5 linked regions of the Cricetulus griseus genome follow. The protein of the gene in region 1 interacts with the protein of each later gene in a biochemical or structural test. Links are inferred from orthologs where the notes say so. Each region holds a gene or a part of one and is shown in the gene's direction. Other genes may lie near its edges.

Region 1 (3,500 bases):
AAGCAAAAGACATTTGAGGCTGATGAGATGACTCAGAAGCAGTGGTTTTCAACCTTCCTAATGCTTTGACCTTTTAACATAATTCTTCATGTTGTGATGACCCCCAACCTTAAAATTATTTTTGTTGCTATTTCATAACTGTCATTTTGGCCTGGTGGTGGTGGTGGCTCACACCTTTAATCCTAGCATTTGGGAGGCAGAGGCAAGCAATCTCTGTGAGTTAGAGACCAGCCTGGTCTACAGAGTGAGTTCCAGGACAGGCTCCAAAGCTACAAAGAAACCCTGTCTTGAACCCCCCCAAAAGATAACTGTAATTTTGCTACTGTTATGAACCATAATGTAAAGATGTGATATAAAGACTATCTGATTCCACCCCTGTGAAAGAGTCGTTTGACCCTCAAAGGGGTTGTGATCCAGTGGTTGAGAACCACTGGCTCAGAGGGTAAAGATGTCTTCTCTCAAGACTGCAGACCAGATTGATCTCCAGGACCCAAATGGTCCTGGAGAGAACCAAGTCCTGCAAGTTGTCCTCTGACTCCCACATTGTACTATATAGGACATGTGTATTTGTATACACGCATAAGACACAAAATAAATACATGTTGAATTATTTAAAATGACATTTGAGATTTTAACAATAAAGTAGTTCAGTGAAATGTATTATTTTCTTAGATCAGAGATGAAATTCAGATATACTTTTGAAATTTCTAGAACTTAAGGCCTTCCTTTCCAGTGTGAATCCTGGTTAGTAAAGCCCATTTAACTATTTATTTTTGAGATGGCCTTGTATACATCCCAGGCCGGCCTCAAACTCCCTTCATAGCTGAGGTTGATCTGAACTTCTGGCCTTCCCCACCCCCTTCCCCACATTAACTTCCCAAGTGCTGGGATAGCAGGCTTTGTGTACCACACCCAGCTCTGGATTCTAAAACTTGCTGATTGTAGAAGAGGTCCCTTCAGGCCATAGCAACCACTACTTTTCCCTTGACTCTAGATGGGGGTTATCAGTAAATTTTCATACTGTAGAAAATTGCTTAAAATCCAAAACATTTAAAAAATCAGTGAAGTGGTGAACAAACAAAACATTTAAACAAAAGATCTAGGAACCAAAATATAGCATTATGGATTTAGAAAATATATTATTTGTCTGTCTTGCTATATCTCTGAGTGACTCTGCACTCAAGGCACTCCATTCCTGCCTCAGCCTCCTAAATGTTGGAATTGTGGCTGCATGTCACCAAGTCTGGCTGTGGTCAAACTCCTAAGTTTCCTCCCTTTATTTCTCACTATTTGCTCATTTTCCCTTTCCCAGCACTGAGTCAGAATCAATTTCACCTTGGTAAGTTTCCCATTTTGAAGCACACGCCTCAGTTTCCCCTTCCTTCTGTGCCTGTGCAGGGGGCCGGGAAAACAAGATGCCTATTCTCATTTCCAAGATCTTCAAGGGACTGGCAGCAGACCAGACGGAGGCACTCTTTGTTGGGGATGCCATCCTGTCTGTGAATGGTGAAGATTTGTCCTCTGCCACCCATGATGAAGCCGTACAGGCCCTCAAGAAGACAGGCAAGGAGGTGGTGCTGGAGGGTAAGTACCAGGGAACAGAGCCGGAGGGCTGGGAAGGGCTGTTGTAATTTCTTTCCTGCTTACCCCAGGCACCAAGTGGCTCCAGCCTGGTCTTGAGGGATGGGATGTGGGCATGAAAATAGAATCAGCACCTACCTGGGGTCACCCTGGGGGGAGAAGCACAGAGCTAAGTAGCACTGGTTTGTATTTCTTGTCTCTCATTCACTAGTAGTGTGGTCTTGGACAAATCACTTCATTTCCAAGAACCTTGATTTCATCTTAAAATGGGGACATAACTCCGGGCTCTCTGGGTTGTGACTAGGATTTGTCACCTATTGGGAAGCTAAGGGAAAGGGAAGAATGGGGACTGGGAAAGGACAACTAGATTCTTTGCTAAAGGGCTGATGGAGCATTTAACTTCAGGTTCTTTTATCATCTGTGGCCCTCAAATCCTGAGATATGTAGTGACTCGTCACATCCAGTGAGGACCAGAGAAGTGCTTTGAGGAGAACCTTAATTGGGTGGCTCTCTCCACAACCTGTTCATGTGTGGTCTTGGAGACACTCACTTTTTCTGGGTCTCAGTTTCTCCATTGTTGCATAAGCCCCGTGATGTGGTTATTTGTTATCTGCCTTTTGACACTCTCAGGAGGTTTCTGCTTTGCTCAGCCCTTTCCTCAAGCTCCACTCTGTCAGCTCCAAACGCCTGTGGGGGCCTGAAGAATGTATTTTTGGCTTCTTGCCCAGAATGGGAACTGAGAGATGGTGGGGGCTGATACACAGTGCCATGGCTAGCAAAGCTGCTGAGCTCAGTCCCAGACTCAAATCCTGCCAAGTTTCCCCACAGGGGTCTCCAAGACGCCACAGAAGTAGAGAGGCTTTGGGACCTTGGGTGACCTTTGACACTTTCAAAGACTTATTTTTATCTCATGTGAATGGGTGTTTGCTGGCCTGTATGTTTGTGTATAGTACCTTGCCTGCATGTCTGTGCACTACGTATGTGTATAGTACCCTGGTCCTCCTTTAACCCACTCTTAACCATTGAGCTATTATTGCCCTAGACCCTCACCTTTGCCATGTTTGTGGTTCAAGACCTCAACTCCCATGCAGTTTTATTTTTCTTCATATTTTAGGCTCATCTACAACTGGTATTGATACATTTTATTTCATTGTGCATAGTGTTTTGTTTCTCAGTCTAGAATGTTAATCCTTAAAAGGTTAAAAGTATATCAAGCAGGGCTGGGGAGATGGCTCTGAGGTTAAGAGCACTTGCTGCTCTTCCAGAGGTCTTGAGTTCAATTCCCAGTAACCACATGGTGGATCACAAACATCTATAATGAGATCTGGTGCCCTCTTCTGATCTGCAGGAATATATGCTGCAGGCATAACACTTTATACATAACAAATAAATAAATCTCTTTTTAAAAAAAAAAGTATATCAAGCAGTTACATGAGTAATATAATCAAGGTCAGGTCTACTTTAATCACAGCAGCACTCAGGATGCAGAGGCAGGAAGACCTTTGTGAGTTCAAGGCCAGTCTGGTCTATATAGGGAGGTCCAGGTAAGCTAGAACTACAAAATGAGATCCTGTCTCAAAAAAGAATAAGAATAAGAAATTGGAATGGAGAGATGGTTCAGCAGTTACTCCTCTTCTGGAGGATTGAGTTTGATTCCAAGCACCCACATAATGGTTTACAACCACCTGAAACTCCAGAAACTCTAGTTCCAGGGGATTCAACACCCTCTTCTGACCTCTGGGGGCACCAGGCATGCAAGTGGCACACATAGCTACATACAGTCAAAATACACATTAAAAATGAATAGACCTAATAAAAAGAAAAAAAAAGTCATATTCCCAGGGCCTCTGGTCTTCCAGGCAGCATTCCTCCAGTGAGATATATCCCCCAGCTCCTATCAATCATATTTAACAACACAG
Region 2 (4,116 bases), about 22 Mb from region 1:
CAAAAACACATGTGCAGGAGCACGTGTGTGCGCTCCTCCTCCCGACCCCTTTCCTTCCCTAGTCCCTGCTTCCTAGCAGAGCCATGTCACCTCTGCCCTCTGTTCTCCACGATCAGTTCTTGCTCTGCTATTCTCCACTCACCTGAGAAGTGCGGGCAGCCCTAACACAGGTTCCCCTAAGTGATTTTTACTCCCCTTTCACTTGTGAGGAAGGGAGGCTCCAGATCCAAAGGCCAATAAGGGCCGGGCCTGGAGAGTGGAGGCGGACTACTCTGCTCCCTCCCACTTAACCACCCTAGGTAACCTTTCCCACCCTCCAGCACTTGACCTTCTCTGCCCAGAGGGAGGTCCGAGTTCTTTGAGTAGCAACAGGGAAATTTATTCCTACCTCTGATGCAGAGTAAAATAACAGGGCCAAAGTTGGTATTACTCAGAGTGTGGGCAGGGTCCTGGGGCTATAGCCACACCATCTGGTTCCACGCCAGTCACGCCCAACTTCAGCTCAAGCACAAGCATCCTTCGGGACTGTCTCAATGCCACCATCGCACCAGAGACCCTGGGCTGGCCAGTCGCCCCAGAGAAAAGAGGAGGGGCGTTAGACACATCCAGACGGTCTAGCAGCAGCGTTTGCTCATCCAGCCCTGAACCCACAGATCCCAGGCTCTTGCTGCTCTCTGGCGGCAGGAGCCAGGAGCCAGAGCCCCGGGGATCGCACCTTGTATGCTCCGCTAGGGCAAGGGCAAGCAGAGAGTGACCAGTGACCGCGAGTCTAGAGAGAGGAAGGGAGGCAGCGAGACGCAACTGGGGCAGAGAGGACTGGGGTCGCAGACAGCCAAGGAAAGGAGGACAAGGGGGCAGCTAGGGTAGAAGGCAGTCGTGGGCACCGGCAGGGACCCCCTCAGCCGCTGGTCGCGCAGAGCGGCTTCTCCAGCCCGCAGCCCTCGCTCGCGTCGGCCGCCCCCTCCTCCCTGCCGGCCGCCCCTCCTCCGTCCCGCCCCCGCTCAGAGTCCCAAGCGCTGCAGAGGCCGCCGCCAGCACTGCCGCTCCCGGAGCCGCCGCTCGCCTGGACACGCTTAGAGAAGGGCACAGGGCGACCGCCCCGGCCCTTCCCTCCCTGCGACTCCGCGGCCACCGCTAGATCCGTTGCCTCGCGCCACCGTTCCCGCTGGGACCTTCACGGGCCGGTGGCCTCCGCTCCTCTCCCCTTGCACTACAGCTCCCCTGCGGCCCCCTCCGTGGCGGGAACTTGGGCAGGACCGGCAGGACCGACGGGACCGGCGCGCGGGTCTGGCTCCGGCGCTGCGGCGATGCCCGCGGGCCCCCCCTCCCGCCACTTGCTCGCCCTGTGCCGCCGCCACTCGCTCGCCCTGTGCCGGGGCTCGGGCCCCGACGGCTGCGCCGTGAGATGACTTTCCGCGACCTCCTGAGCGTCACTTTTGAAGGACCCCGCTCCAACAGTAGCACTGGGGGCTCCGGCGCAGGCGGTGGAGCTGGCACGGCTGGACCTGAGGGCCCGGCGGTGAGCGGCGTGCCAGGGACCACTGGCGGCGGAGCTGTGGTGGGAACCGGCAGCGGCGAGGACAACCAGAGCTCCACGGGAGAACCGGGGGCTGCGGCCGGAGGCGAGGTGAATGGCTCGGCGGCCGTCGGGGGGCTGGTGGTGAGTGCACAGGGCGTGGGAGTGGGAGTCTTCCTAGCGGCCTTCATCCTCACCGCCGTAGCGGGCAACTTGCTCGTCATCCTCTCGGTGGCCTGCAACCGCCACCTGCAAACGGTCACCAATTATTTCATCGTGAACCTAGCGGTGGCTGACCTGCTGTTGAGTGCGGCTGTGCTGCCCTTCTCGGCCACTATGGAGGTTCTAGGCTTTTGGGCCTTTGGCCGGACCTTCTGCGACGTATGGGCCGCTGTGGACGTCCTGTGCTGCACTGCCTCCATCCTTAGCCTCTGCACCATCTCTGTGGACCGGTACGTGGGTGTGCGCCACTCACTGAAGTACCCAGCCATTATGACAGAGCGCAAGGCAGCTGCCATCCTGGCTCTGCTCTGGGCGGTGGCCCTGGTGGTGTCCGTGGGACCGCTACTGGGCTGGAAGGAGCCAGTGCCCCCGGATGAGCGTTTCTGTGGCATCACTGAGGAAGTGGGCTATGCTGTCTTCTCTTCTGTGTGCTCCTTCTACCTGCCCATGACAGTGATCGTGGTCATGTACTGCCGCGTGTATGTGGTCGCACGCAGCACCACGCGCAGCCTCGAGGCAGGCATCAAGCGGGAGCCTGGTAAGGCCTCCGAAGTGGTGCTGAGGATCCACTGTCGCGGTGCAGCCACTAGCGCCAAAGGAACCCATGGGGCACAGAGTAGCAAGGGCCACACCTTGCGCAGCTCACTCTCAGTAAGGTTGCTCAAGTTTTCCCGCGAGAAGAAGGCTGCCAAGACGCTGGCCATCGTCGTGGGTGTCTTCGTCCTTTGCTGGTTCCCCTTCTTCTTCGTCCTGCCACTGGGTGAGTGATCCCCTCACATTAGACCCTTCTGACAAGTCCCTTCCTGGAAGGCTTAGATGACCCACAGCCTGACTGTGAATGGTTATGAACTTCCTAGTCGCTTACTGTTGAAGAGGGAGAGCAAGGGACTCTTGGTACTTCTGGGTTTCCTGTTACTGGTTTATCATTCTTTTTCTTACCTTTTGTAGCCATTACAAACCTTGGGCTTGCGTTAGTTCCTTGGAAACCTGGGCTAACATCTCCCTGTAATATGTGGCCAGCAGTGGATGTGCCCCATAGCGAATATACCCATCTCTGGAAATAGATACACAGTGGGCAAGCCCACGTGCACTCATTCATCAGCAGACCCAGGCTAGTCACCTTGTATCTCAGTAGACATCAGAGGCTCTGATTTCTCCAATAGGCGTTCATTCAGTGGCCCCACTGGTATCTGTGAGAACCCTGTGGGCTTTCCCTTCTGAAATCTCCTCTTGAAGGGATTAAAGGAAGAAACCTGTTCGGGTGGGAAGGACAGGATGAGAAAACTGTCAAGGGGAGAGTTGCTATTGTTTATAGTCATTTATGGAGTGAACTAGTTCCCTTACAAGAGCCCTGCAATCCTGGGGGAAACACGACTGTTCTCAGGGGATTCCTCCCACCCCTTGAGCCTGGAAGCCCTGGAGCAGGGCCCAAGGGCCTAGACCAGCACAGAAGAGAAAGGGGCAGCATTTCTAAGGCTCTTTTCTCTGGTCACTTTGCTCATAGCTGCAACCTCTATGTGTTCAAGCAGGACCGACCTCTCCAGCTGTTCCCCTGGCTGCTTGCATTTGTGAGACTCACTCAGGGAAGAAATAATGGCCCTCCCTCCTGAGCCCCTGCAAGTCTCCCCCACACAGCAGCAGCAGCCATGGGGACTTTTATATACCATAGTTCAGTTGTGTCACTCCCCTACAAGTCCCTTGGTGTTTTTATACTACTTGGGAACAAAACTGTCTTCCACAGCCTACAGAGGGTAGCCTTCAGATTTATTATTGTCCAAACCAAAACAGGTCACTATTAGTATTTACAGTAGGACCATAGGCACGAACTGCAGGAGTTCCCAACAGATGCCATTCCCATCTGAAAGGGGCTATTCAGGGAAGGACTTCCTCCCTCTGCCCTGGCCCTGACCCTGTGTGAGTTACTTCCTTGTGATACCTATCTCTGGTCTCACTTGATCTTTTCTCTGTCTGGATGCCCACCCAAACCTCTTAGCTAACTCCCAACCTGTGGGTTTCTGTTTAAATACCCCCTTTGCCTTGGTGTTTCACTCTCTCACCGGCTCTCTAGCTTTTCTTTTCAACTGTGTCTCCACTGCATCCATAGTACCCAGAATGGTGCCTGGCATATGAGGAGCAATATTGTTCTTCATTGAGGACACAGGCTCTGGTGTCAGGCAGCTTGAGTTCAAATCCCAACTCTGCTTCTCACTAGCTATGTAGCCTCAGGCCTCTGTTTCTTCATCTTTAAGGGAGGATGGTGATGATGGTAACACTTGTGACCTTGACAAGAATTGTGAGCATCAATGAGTTGCTGTGCATGCTGTGATTCAGGCAAATGTGAATGTCTTACACTGATGCCCCACCCCAGCAGATGAGAG
Region 3 (4,290 bases), on another chromosome or scaffold:
CCACATGGAGGCTGATAGTGAACAACCACCTGGAACTCCAGTTCCTGTGGATTGGCCATCATCTTCTGCTCCCCCACCCATGTACTGCACACATATGGGGCAAGCAAATACATTCAGGTGAAACACTCTTCATCGTAAAACGTAAAAAACTCATATTACTTTATCTTAGAAATAAAATTTAATATCTCTGTGCTACTGGAATGCTAGATACAGTCACTTTCTTTCTTCCTTCCTTCCTTCCTTCCTTCCTTTCTTTCTTTCTTTCTTTCTTTCTTTCTTTCTTTCTTTCTTTCTCTCTTTCTCTTTTTTAAAAAAACAAAAAACAGGATGCCAGTATGCCTGTACCGAAGCTTCACTTCTTAAGGTCAAACCTGGCATGTTTTTTTTTTTCCCTATAAAATTGAGATTTTTTAAAAAGAATGAAATACATAAAACCAAGTAGGATGGTAGAATTAGATGTTTCCATTATTCAGAATTGCAGGGCTGGGAGGATGTGGTTTGGTGACAGAGGACTTGCCGAGCATGCGCCGAGCCCTATGTTTAGTCCTTAGCACTGAGAACAAACATCTCATCAAAACAAAAGCCTTTGGTTCCGGGAAGCATTTGAAACAACCTCCCCAGCCTCTCCCACCTCCCTCCCAAGTGATGACTGTACATGGAAAATGACTTAATCCAGTTGAGCAAAAACAACATATCAATGACTCATATTAAGAAAGAAAGCACAGCCTTTGGCTGCATGAATGGAGGCTTCTACAATCCTTCTTACCACCCCCTCCCTCTGCAACTGTCCAAACAGTCCGTGGGAAGAAGGAAGAACGCGGGATTTGTGCTAGGTTTATGGCGATTGAAATGAGAATAAGGAAAACTATCTCACCATCCAGACAGGATTGGGAGCTTTAGAAGCGGCGTGTGGTTAGGCAGAGTAAGAGGACAAGAGCTGGAGGGATGGAATGGAGCAAGCCAGGCAAGGCAAACTTGTTTTGTACCAACTTAGATTTCTTTTCCCCACATCTTTGAACTTCCCATATTTTGGTCCACACCCTCTGTCAACTTTTGCAGACCTGTGCAGATCTGTCTGAGAGACCTCCGGTCTGAGGACCTGAAAGAGTGGGGTGGGCCACAGTCTGATGCAGTAAACAACCTCCCTTCAGTTCCAGTGTACTTGTACATGTGAATGCAACAAAGAAGGCTACGATCCAAGGAAGGTTACTTGAGTTCAGAAAAACATGTCATTTATTTATTCCTGTAAGGACATACTAAATATTAAGAGAGCAGCCCTTTCCCAGAACTTTTTCAGGAAGTTTAAACACAATTGTCTGGCACATACTAAAGGTTAGATCTAGAAAAGCATGGAAACAAGATAGAAGGCCATGTCCAGAGCCAGGGTACACTGAGGACAGCACCTAGCACATCCTTCCAACAGATTGGATTCTATCGCTATATTCTGATATCCAAACAAGAACAAACGTAAGTTCTAAATTGAGTGTATATGTTTGTTGCAGGACACATGAAATCACATCCAAGAACAACCCAGGAAACAAAATTCACCTCAGGTAAAAGGCCCTCTGCCTTTTTCCCCTGGAGCCTGTCTCACAGTTCCCTGCAGCATTGTTCGCTGTGGGACATTCAATGCTCTTTGTTATCCTTCTCCATGCTCACCTCACTCATCATCTCCCAGAGACACCCCACTGTCCTTTCTTAGAGCTTTCATATGTCACTCAGCCCGTGATGCCAATCTGATGCATACAGAAGTGCCTCCATGCGTTAGCCTCAATTTCAAATATTTATGAGAATTTCATTTCCTCAGCCAGAAAATAAACCTTCAAGATGACTTCTGCTACATTTGCTTCAACTTTCTCAGTTTGATGGGCATATGTTGTAACTGAAATAATTCCCGATTCCTTGATGTGCTGCTTTTCTGGGAACAGTAAGAATCCCTCCAAGAGCATGTTTATCATCCTTCCATCCAATCTTGGCATTTCTGCTCGCAGGCTCTAGATGTGATGATGATTTAAGTGTTACCCTGTCACACGCAGGTGTGACTTCTCCACAGAACAACCTGGAAAACAATCTGTAATTCTGTTTGACTGTGTGTGCTGGTCCATGTCCCCTCCTTAGCTGTCTAGTTGAAATGCCTTTGTGTAACCTTACCCTGGCATATATGTGGTAACTCTCAAGAGGGTGTTAAAAGGGCTGGAGAGATGATGGCTCAACAAATAAGAACGCTTGCTGCCAAGCATTAGGCTAAGCTTGGGATTCCTGTTGAAGAGAGGGAGAAAGGATTGTAGAAGCCAGAGGGGTCAAGGACATCCCAAGAAAACCCACAGAAACAACTAACCTGAACACATAGGATCTCACAGACTCTGAACCAACAACCAGGGAGCCTACATGGGACTGACCTAGGCTGTCTACTTATATGTGACAGTAGTGTAGCTTGGTCTACTTGTGGGATGCCTAAGAGTGGGAGCAGGGGCTTCCCTAATACTTTGATTGGCTCTTGGAACCTGTTTCTCCTACTGGGTAGCCTTGCCCAAACTTGATACAAGGGCAGTGCTTAGTCTTACTGCAACGTGATCCGCCATGCTTTGCTGACACCCATGGGAGGCCTGCCCCTTTCTGAACAGAAATAGAGAAGGAATGGATTGAGGTGGGGTGGAGGAGAAATTAGGGGAGGGGATAGGAGGACAGGAAGTAGGGAAAACTGCAGTCAGTAAAAAAGCAAAGTCTATTCTGCGGCCTTGAGAGATGGCTCAATGGTTAATCGTACTGGCCGCTCTTCCAGAAGACATGGGTTCAATTCCTAGCACCCACATAGGCAGTTCACAGTCATCTGTAAAGCCAGTCCCAGTGGATCTTGTGCCCTCTTTCTGGCCTTCTGGGGTACTACATGCATGTGATGCACAGATATACATGACCTCGAAACACATACAAATTTTAAAAATAGATTCTTTTATAAATGGAGTCATGATCTTACTTAATTTGTCTGCTCTGAAGGCGTGCTCCCTAGATAGCCAGCGCTATTTCTTTGTATGTTGCTGTTGACTTCGTAAGCAAGATCCATAGATCACATTGGAATATGTTTCCTCATGTGACTTAAAGACTGTGTGGAAACCACAGGCACAATGCCTTTGGAGTTCTGCTGAGAAGAAAAAAAACAGGACCACATTTAGCTTTTCTGCTGTCTCTTGACTTCTCAGATGGAGTCACCAGGTAAAAATGAGCTAGAATAAAATGCTTGCTTTTTCTTCCAGAGGACTTGGGAATGGCCTTGTGATTAGCGTGACAGGTACCCACATAGTCAGTGCTTGGCTGCAGCTGGTGGCACTGCTGGGAGTTGGTGGAACCTTTCCAAGGTTGGATCTAGTGGCAGAGCGCTAGGTTACTGGGGGTTGACTATTGAAGAGGACAATGGAACTCTGCCACCACCTTTGTTTTCCCAGCCAGCTTTCCCAACTGTCCTAGTTATGGTTACTATTACTGTGATGAAACACCATGACCAAAGAATTTGGGAATGGAAAGGTTTATTCAGCTTATGCATCCCCATTACAGTTCATCGTCAAAGGACGTCAGGACAGGAACTCGAGCAGGGCAGGAACCTGGAGCCAGGAACTGACACAGAGACCATGGAGGAATGCTGCTTACTGGCTTGTTCTTCATGACTTAGCCTGCTTTCTTACAGCACCCAGGACCATCAGCCCAGGGATGGTACCACCCATAGAGGGCTGGGCTCTCCCCATCAATCACTAATCAAGAAAATTCCCTACAGGCCTTCCTATAGCCAGATATTATGGTGGCATTTTTTCACTTGAGGCTCCCTCCTCTCTGATGACTCTAGCCTGTGTCATGTTGACATAAAACTAGCCAGTACACTGACCATGATGGAAAGCTTGCAATAGTCCCAAAAGTTATTGAGCTAGTGACCACAGCAACTCCATAGACAGGAAGGACCCTTGTACCATAACTAGGAGGGAGTGCCCTCTGTTAATCTCCACAGCTGTGTCCCAAGCAGGTTGAAAAGAGAAAAATGTCAAACAGGGTGACAACAAGACATATTTTCATTTAAGATTGAGGACTAGACAGCAAAGATCATTTTTGGTATCTGTGAGAAAAATGCATTGGGTTTGCCTAGTGAATGCTGTGTGTGCATGTGTGTACGTGTACTAATGTGCCGAGCTCCTAATTAGCTTGGAGATCTTGGGATGGGATATTTATACACAGTGGTTTGGAGGTAGGATGCTGGTTGATGGGTATGACCCAAGAGGATGCAGGTGGTACCTGGAGATGTGAGGG
Region 4 (3,988 bases), on another chromosome or scaffold:
AATCATGCCCTGCCTGCACTCACTCTCTAGGCTGTCCTTCATTCATCACACCAGAGAAAGAGCTTCCTTCTTGTTGTAAAGGACTCTCTGGGGGCTGCTGCTGCACTGACTGTGAGGCCCTGCAAACATCATCACCACTCTTTCCCTGCTTACTTTGGTTGGTGATAATCTGGCATTTGGAACCACTGCAGGATCTTAGAGGCTGGCTATAAAAAGAGCTACTTCTCTTTGACATAAGGAGCAACATGACAAGGGATGTGGACTAAGGCTAAAATGGCGTTCCTTGCTTCCCTCCAGTATCATGGGTAAGGAATGAATGAGTGGTGGGCATTCATGGGAGGGCAGGGATGAAGAGTTCAAACCAGCATTTGGTGATCACTTCAGAAAGTGGCTACAGCTTTCCAATTATGGACTGTGACTGTGCAATGCTGCCTGTCACAGTGGCTTGTCACAGGAGTGATGCGCTGTTTCTTTAGCTTTTAGAAGACAGATACATAGAAAACACCTTCCAGTCTTTCACTGTACTGACAGACAAATTGACTTTGGGGCCTTAGAAAGTGGAAAAGATAATGTGTATATATTTGGTACAAGTTAACAGTGAGGGTTTGTCTAATGTTCCATGACTGACTTTGTTTGGCATGTGCTTACTGTGAGTATACATTTTATATTTTGATCATAGGAATCCAGGAAACTTCAGCTTGCTTTTTTCATAAAAGCATAAAACATTAATTGATTCTCATGTGTGTTTCTTTATATGACAATGTGAAATCTACATGCCTAAATATCTGGCATATCTGCTATGCCTTTTGTGCTCAGAAATACAAAGAAGTTTTGATCAAAGCTTCCCAGAGCAAAGTTACTTAATTTTACTAACCCATTGGTTTCCTATCCATATAATGTATAAGTATACTTCCCTCATGTGGATTCTGTGGAAAATGAGTGTTCTATTGCATACAAAATGACTAGCATGCTATCTGATGTAAAGATGTTCTTTACAGTTGGTATATGGTCGGTTATGCCCACAGCTCACAATTTAGAGGAACAAGTCATGAATCCTTGTACTGTGACCTAAAAGGTATGTTTAAGAGTCAGAGGTGATGATATATTCTCTTTGTTTCCAGCCACAGGACCAAGTCTTCGGGCTGGCCGCCTCCCTCAGGAACCTGGGCCTTGAACCAGGTGCCACCCTATGGATGGGAGATGATGACAAACCGAGATGGCCGTGACTACTTCATCAAGTAGGTTAAAAAGACACCAAAGAATTTGTCCCACGCTCTTCTAGTTTTGTTTGATTTTTAAAAAGAGTTTATTTATTCTGTGACAATTGTATAATGTATAAAATTGTTTTTGATCATATTGACCCTCTACTTACCTTTCTTACGCCCCCTCCCTCTGGAAACCTCTCCCTGAGATGACCCCTTCTTACTTTTGTGTCTCTTTATTTTTCTAATAACTCATTGTGTTTAATTAGGGTAGCTTGCATATACATGTATGCTATATTATTGGCTAGATAAGTGGATCACAGGTAATTACTTCCATAGCATGGCAATTTTTGCTCATAGCAGAAGTGTGCACTATGAAATATTGGTCAGTTGCATCCATTGCCTAAAACTAAGGAATCTTGTTATTTCAAACATTTTCATGGAGTGGTCAAGAATGTTACTGAGTTATCAACTAAAATGATTATGTGTTTTCATAATACCTCTTACTACAAATTATTGTTTATATATTGGTTTAGATTATAGATTTTGATGGCAGTCTTATTTTGTTTGTGTTACGTGAATGTACATCCCAGAATTCCTTACCTAAGCCATTTTGGATGTATTATTTAGTAGCATCCATGGTGTTATATACTTATTTAATACTGTCAAATTCCATGACTTTTGTATCACCTTTGTCTTTGTTTGCTTCCTTTTGCTGCACTAAACCACTCTGACAAAAAATCAAGAGTGTATTTAGCTTGCACTTTTAGGTCACAGTATATCACTGAGGCAAGTCAGGGAAAGAACTCAAGCAGGAACCTGGAAATAGGGACTGATGCAGCACCATGGAGGAAAGATGCTTGCTGGATTGTTCCTGGCTGGCTTAGCTTATTTTCTTAAACAACCCAGGATCATCTTCAAGGCATGATACTACCCATAGTGATCTGAGTACTCCCACATCACCATCAGTCAAGAAAATGCCTAGTTAGACTTGACTACAGGCCTTCTCAATTGATACTCTATTCCCTCACATGACTACAATTTGTGTCAAGTTGACAATAGCAAACACCACTACCCTTGAAAAATTTCCTAAGCAGGGCATTGCCACTCTTAGATGTTGTCTGCCTAAAAACAAAGTAAGCCAGTATCACAAGATATAGAAGGTTCAGGAGGAGAGTGAACTGCTTAAGTAATAGCTTCCAAGTACCTTTGCATTCCCACTTTAATTGTATTCATACTACTAAGCAAATCAAAGCTAGAAGTTGGATGTAGCCACTGGTAAATTCATATTATACAGTAATAAGTATTTGTTTCTCCTACTTTTACCTCCCAATAGCATCTGGTCTTTTTTTCTGTCTCTGTTGCTTATTCTAGGAACTCCCATATACATAGAATCATATAATATTTGTTCTCTTGTATTGGGCTGTCTTAATTTTACATAAGGTTTTTAAAAACCTATCCATATTATAAGACATGTTAGAATTAATTCCTTTTAATGCTGGATAATATTCCATTGAATGTATATACGACACTTACTTAATGGTAGTGTTTGTTCTACATGTACAAGTCTCTAGGTTGAAAACACGTATGCACGCGCGCACATACACACACACACACACACACACACACACACACACACACACACACTTTCTTCCTGTTTTCAATTGATTGGGGTTTACATCTAAAGTTTGAAGGGCAGAACATATGAAATTGATGGGTCAAAGTTATATTCTATGCTTCACTCGTTAAGACACCACCAAGAGTGAGAAAAGCATTTAAACTGTGTGTGTGTGTGTGTGTGTGTGTGTGTGTGTGTGTGTGTGTGTGTGTGTGTGTGAATGTGTGTATGTGTTTTCAACAATGAAATTTCAGACTGTCTTTGTTAATTAAGACTGAAATATTCTTAATTACAAGAAATTAGTGAAATAGATTTGGAATCAGGAAGCACAGTTGGCCAGAGTCCAATTATAACTGAGTAGAGATTTGAGAGGAAGGGGAAAATTATTCATTGTTTCGGCCAAGCTGCCTATGCCTTGATTAGCAAATATAAGATCATATGGAGAGTAGAGGTCATTTTTATAAAGGTATCTGCCTACATTGTTTGGGTCTTCTGTACTCCCAACTCAACCCCACACGCAAGTGAGAATTGCTCGGAAGCCAACAGGGTGAAAACTCACTGGATTGTTATGGCTGCTTTTCTAGTCTTTATAACCCAGATCCCTCCTCTTTCCCATAATTGCTGCAGACAGAAGATCTCCCCTCTGGAGTGCACTGCTTACACAGGAACTGCCCCTTGTTTGGGAAGACCTGCTTTGCCCTTAAACATAACCCATGGCAGGGAATATAGAAGTGTCTTCTGCCTTTTGAATGCTGTGCTCACAGATTAAGAAACATGAGTATGGCTTTTGGAACCCAGTCTCAAAACACTCAAAAGACAGGTAGAAAGGCCTCACACCTGTCTCACACCCTGGATTCTAAACTGTTAGCTTTGTGCAGTTTGTCCAAGTCCTTTCTTCTGTTAAGACAATGTATGATATTATAATATGCTACCTGTTTTCCAACATAGCTACAGATGCACTCAGTTGGTTCACTTAAAATAATCCAGATATTTGTAGTAAGAACTGAAAAAAGAGGCAAAGAAATGTATTTTTAAAGGCATTAATTGGGACTTTATTACAGGTTATATTTCAGACTTTTCTGATTAGTGTCTAGTTTTTTCCCTCTGTTTGGCTTTTCTGGAGTTTCACATATATCCCAGACAGTCTTTCAAAAGGTAGTAATTCAAA
Region 5 (3,378 bases), on another chromosome or scaffold:
AAGAAATCTGCAATCCTAGTTCATGACGTCAACCAAAAGGAATAGCTCCTTGTGTTGACTCAGCTCGGATTATAAAACCCAATGGGCGCGACAGAGCACAAATGCAGGTGTCAAGGTGTTAAAATCAGAGCCAAAAACTCTGAAGCGTCATTCGGTGTGTCCTTTCTACGCGGGGTGGCGGCGGTGGTGTCATCTACTCTAGACTGCATGTTGCAAACTTCTCCTTCATACTCGGCACACACCGTGGCGTCATTCTCCTTGGCTGGGGTTGGGAGGTGTGTGTGTGTATGTGTGCGTGTGTGCGTGTGCGCGTGTGCGCGTGTGCGCGTGTGCGCGTGTGCGCGTGTGCGCGTGTGCGCGTGTGCGCGTGTGCGCGCGCGTGCGTGCGTGTGTGTGTGTGTGTGTGTGTGTGTGTGTGTGTGTGTGTGTGTGTGTGTGTCCAACTGGTCCCTGGCGTTGACTGTTAACACCCAGAAACCTTCACTTCCTTTCTCCATTGACTGGGCTTGAGTGACAGCACAGCTCTGAGCGAGAACAGCCAGAGAGCCTTTCTGACAGATGCGCGCTCTGCTCCAGCAACCGGCCTGGCTGGAAACTTTCCTCTAACCACGAACACCCACTTCCCATTCCCCCCAAGCTGTCAGGCTGGCCGGGTCCCCTCTCGAGCAGGGAAGGGCCAGGCTGCCTGATGGCAGAACCAGTCTCACAGCTAAACTCCTCCAACCCCAGCAGACAGGCTGTTCAAGGCACTGGGCGTCTTGAGAACGCCAACAAGATTCCCTCCTCGCTGCAGGGAACTCGGCAGAGGAGGCAGAGCGGCGCGGGAGCTGCGGGGCGCCGGTGGGAAGGAGGAGAGCTAGGGCGGGAGCCGCGCCGCGCCGAGGGAAAAAGAGAGCTGGTGCTGGGGCGAGCGGGGACCCCCTGGAGGGGGCGGGGACGCAGCAGACCCGACTCCGGTAGAAGCCTGCCGGAGCCGGAAAGGGCGCGCTCGCTGCAGCCGGTGGGTGCCGGGGAGATGCTGGCTCCGCAGTCCGCCCGGAATCTTTGGAGCGGCTCAATCGCGGGTAGGAGGGGGTGCCGGGTGTTGGGGGGTGGGGGCACCGTTGTCGGGGGCGTGCCTTGGCGGCGATTGGCTGCGGGAGCTTGACGCGCGGCCCCGGGGCTGGCTAGGGGGGTGGCAGCGGGGTGGGGTGTGGGGCCGGAGCTGTCGGCCCCGCGCGCTCAGAAACATGCTGAGGTCCCGGCGGCTCTTCCAGCAGCGGCAGCGGCTCCAGCAGCAGCGGCGGCGGCGGCGGCGGCGACAGCGCTCGGCTCCGGCGGAGAAGGCGCTCGGAGTCCATGCCTCCGGCCCCGAGCCGCGGCTGCCCTGACCTGGCCGCGACCTCCCGCGCGGGCCCCGCAGCCCCGGCTCCTGGGGTGTTCCCCAGCCGCGGCCCAGCCCCGCCACACCCCCCGCCCCCGGCCTCCGCAGCTCGGCATGGGCGCGGGGGCGCTCGCCCTGGGCGCCTCCGAACCCTGCAACCTGTCGTCGGCCGCGCCGCTGCCCGACGGCGCGGCCACCGCGGCGCGCCTGCTGGTGCTCGCGTCGCCGCCCGCCTCGCTGCTGCCTCCCACCAGCGAGGGCTCAGCGCCGCTGTCGCAGCCGTGGACTGCGGGCATGGGCCTCCTGCTGGCGCTCATCGTGCTGCTCATCGTGGCGGGCAACGTGCTGGTGATCGTGGCCATCGCCAAGACCCCGCGGCTGCAGACGCTCACCAACCTCTTCATCATGTCCCTGGCCAGCGCCGACCTGGTCATGGGGCTGCTGGTGGTGCCTTTCGGGGCCACCATCGTGGTGTGGGGCCGCTGGGAGTACGGCTCCTTCTTCTGCGAGCTCTGGACTTCGGTGGACGTGCTGTGTGTGACGGCCAGCATCGAGACCCTGTGTGTCATCGCCCTGGACCGCTACCTCGCCATCACGTCGCCCTTCCGCTACCAGAGCCTGCTGACGCGCGCGCGAGCGCGGGCCCTCGTGTGCACGGTGTGGGCCATCTCGGCTCTGGTGTCCTTCCTGCCCATCCTCATGCACTGGTGGCGGGCCGAGAGCGACGAGGCACGCCGCTGCTACAACGACCCCAAGTGCTGCGATTTCGTCACCAACCGGGCCTACGCCATCGCCTCGTCCGTCGTCTCCTTCTACGTGCCCCTGTGCATCATGGCCTTCGTGTACCTGCGGGTGTTCCGCGAGGCCCAGAAGCAGGTGAAGAAGATCGACAGTTGCGAGCGCCGCTTCCTCGGCGGCCCCGCTCGGCCGCCCTCACCCGCGCCCTCGCCGTCGCCAGGGCCGCCGCGCCCCGCAGACTCGCTGGCCAACGGGCGCTCCAGCAAGCGGCGGCCGTCGCGCCTCGTGGCCCTGCGCGAGCAGAAGGCGCTCAAGACGCTGGGCATCATCATGGGTGTGTTCACGCTCTGCTGGCTGCCCTTCTTCCTGGCCAACGTGGTGAAGGCCTTCCACCGCGACCTGGTGCCCGATCGCCTCTTCGTCTTCTTTAACTGGCTGGGCTACGCCAACTCGGCCTTCAACCCCATCATCTACTGCCGCAGCCCCGACTTCCGCAAGGCCTTCCAGCGCCTGCTCTGCTGCGCGCGCCGGGCCGTCCGCAGACGCCGCGCATCCCACGGGGACCGGCCGCGCGCCTCGGGCTGCCTGGCGGGAGCTGGGCCGCCGCCGTCCCCTGGAGCTCCCTCGGACGACGACGAAGACGATGCGGGGATCACGGCACCCGCGCGCCTGCTGGAGCCCTGGGCTGGCTGCAACGGCGGGGTGACGACTGTGGACAGCGATTCGAGCCTGGACGAGCCGGGGCGCCGGGACTTCTCCTCGGAATCCAAGGTGTAGAGAGCCAGGCTCTCCCGGCGGGCGCACGGACGCCGGCCCCACGGTCCCGGCCTGGACACAGGCTCCGCGTCCCTAGAGGAAGAGAGCTTGCCGGGCGCCCCTGAGCCGCTCCGCAGAGGAGGGAGGAGACCTCTGTTTACTCAAGACCGAAAGCAGGTGAACTCACAGATGAATCTGAATCATCCCAGACGTACAGCAAAGCCCCGGACCGTCCGCAGCGCAAAAAGGGAAGTTTGGGAGGAGTTGGGAGAGTGTGGCTTTCTGATTTGTCTTGGGTTCCTTTCTCTCTGGGGTTCGGCCTTTTGTGTGTTCTCGTGATACACCTTTAGCTTTTGTTTTTTGTTTTGTTTTGTTTTCCAGATGGGTTTTGACATTTTCTGCAAGGACCGGAGTGGAAACTAGGTGGGGAGGGTAAAGGGGGAATGAAGTCTACCACCTGGCTTCCGGTTCCACATCTAGGAACCTAAGTAGTCAGCTCCAGTTTGGGGTGCTGGTGGGAG

The links. The genes of interacting proteins can lie anywhere in the genome.
Region 2: the proteins of Snta1 (region 1) and Adra1d interact in a test that uses a peptide from one of them, tested with the Homo sapiens proteins (2 studies listed by BioGRID and IntAct). The link is inferred for Cricetulus griseus from reciprocal best matches to the Homo sapiens genes SNTA1 and ADRA1D.
Region 3: the proteins of Snta1 (region 1) and Gda interact in a test that uses a peptide from one of them, tested with the Homo sapiens proteins (2 studies listed by BioGRID and IntAct). The link is inferred for Cricetulus griseus from reciprocal best matches to the Homo sapiens genes SNTA1 and GDA.
Region 4: the proteins of Snta1 (region 1) and Frmpd4 interact in a test that uses a peptide from one of them, tested with the Homo sapiens proteins (2 studies listed by IntAct, with this or other methods). The link is inferred for Cricetulus griseus from reciprocal best matches to the Homo sapiens genes SNTA1 and FRMPD4.
Region 5: the proteins of Snta1 (region 1) and beta-1 adrenergic receptor interact in a test that uses a peptide from one of them, tested with the Homo sapiens proteins (2 studies listed by BioGRID and IntAct). The link is inferred for Cricetulus griseus from reciprocal best matches to the Homo sapiens genes SNTA1 and ADRB1.

Annotation. Positions count from the first base shown.
Region 1 is NC_048599.1:25,233,058-25,236,557, forward strand, and holds part of Snta1 (alpha-1-syntrophin), read left to right. Parts: intron 1-1,398; coding exon 1,399-1,584; intron 1,585-3,500. UniProt on the Homo sapiens protein: Adapter protein that binds to and probably organizes the subcellular localization of a variety of membrane proteins. May link various receptors to the actin cytoskeleton and the extracellular matrix via the dystrophin glycoprotein complex.
Region 2 is NC_048599.1:47,030,694-47,034,809, forward strand, and holds the start of Adra1d (alpha-1D adrenergic receptor), read left to right. Parts: upstream 1-1,316; 5' UTR 1,317-1,405; coding exon 1,406-2,498; intron 2,499-4,116. UniProt on the Homo sapiens protein: This alpha-adrenergic receptor mediates its effect through the influx of extracellular calcium.
Region 3 is NC_048596.1:39,790,672-39,794,961, forward strand, and holds the start of Gda (guanine deaminase), read left to right. Parts: upstream 1-1,490; 5' UTR 1,491-1,553; intron 1,554-4,290. UniProt on the Homo sapiens protein: Catalyzes the hydrolytic deamination of guanine, producing xanthine and ammonia.
Region 4 is NC_048604.1:102,458,291-102,462,278, reverse strand, and holds the start of Frmpd4 (FERM and PDZ domain-containing protein 4), read left to right. Parts: upstream 1-1,188; 5' UTR 1,189-1,200; coding exon 1,201-1,238; intron 1,239-3,988. UniProt on the Homo sapiens protein: Positive regulator of dendritic spine morphogenesis and density. Required for the maintenance of excitatory synaptic transmission. Binds phosphatidylinositol 4,5-bisphosphate.
Region 5 is NC_048596.1:4,713,453-4,716,830, reverse strand, and holds beta-1 adrenergic receptor, read left to right. Parts: upstream 1-1,477; coding exon 1,478-2,878; downstream 2,879-3,378. UniProt on the Homo sapiens protein: Beta-adrenergic receptors mediate the catecholamine-induced activation of adenylate cyclase through the action of G proteins. This receptor binds epinephrine and norepinephrine with approximately equal affinity.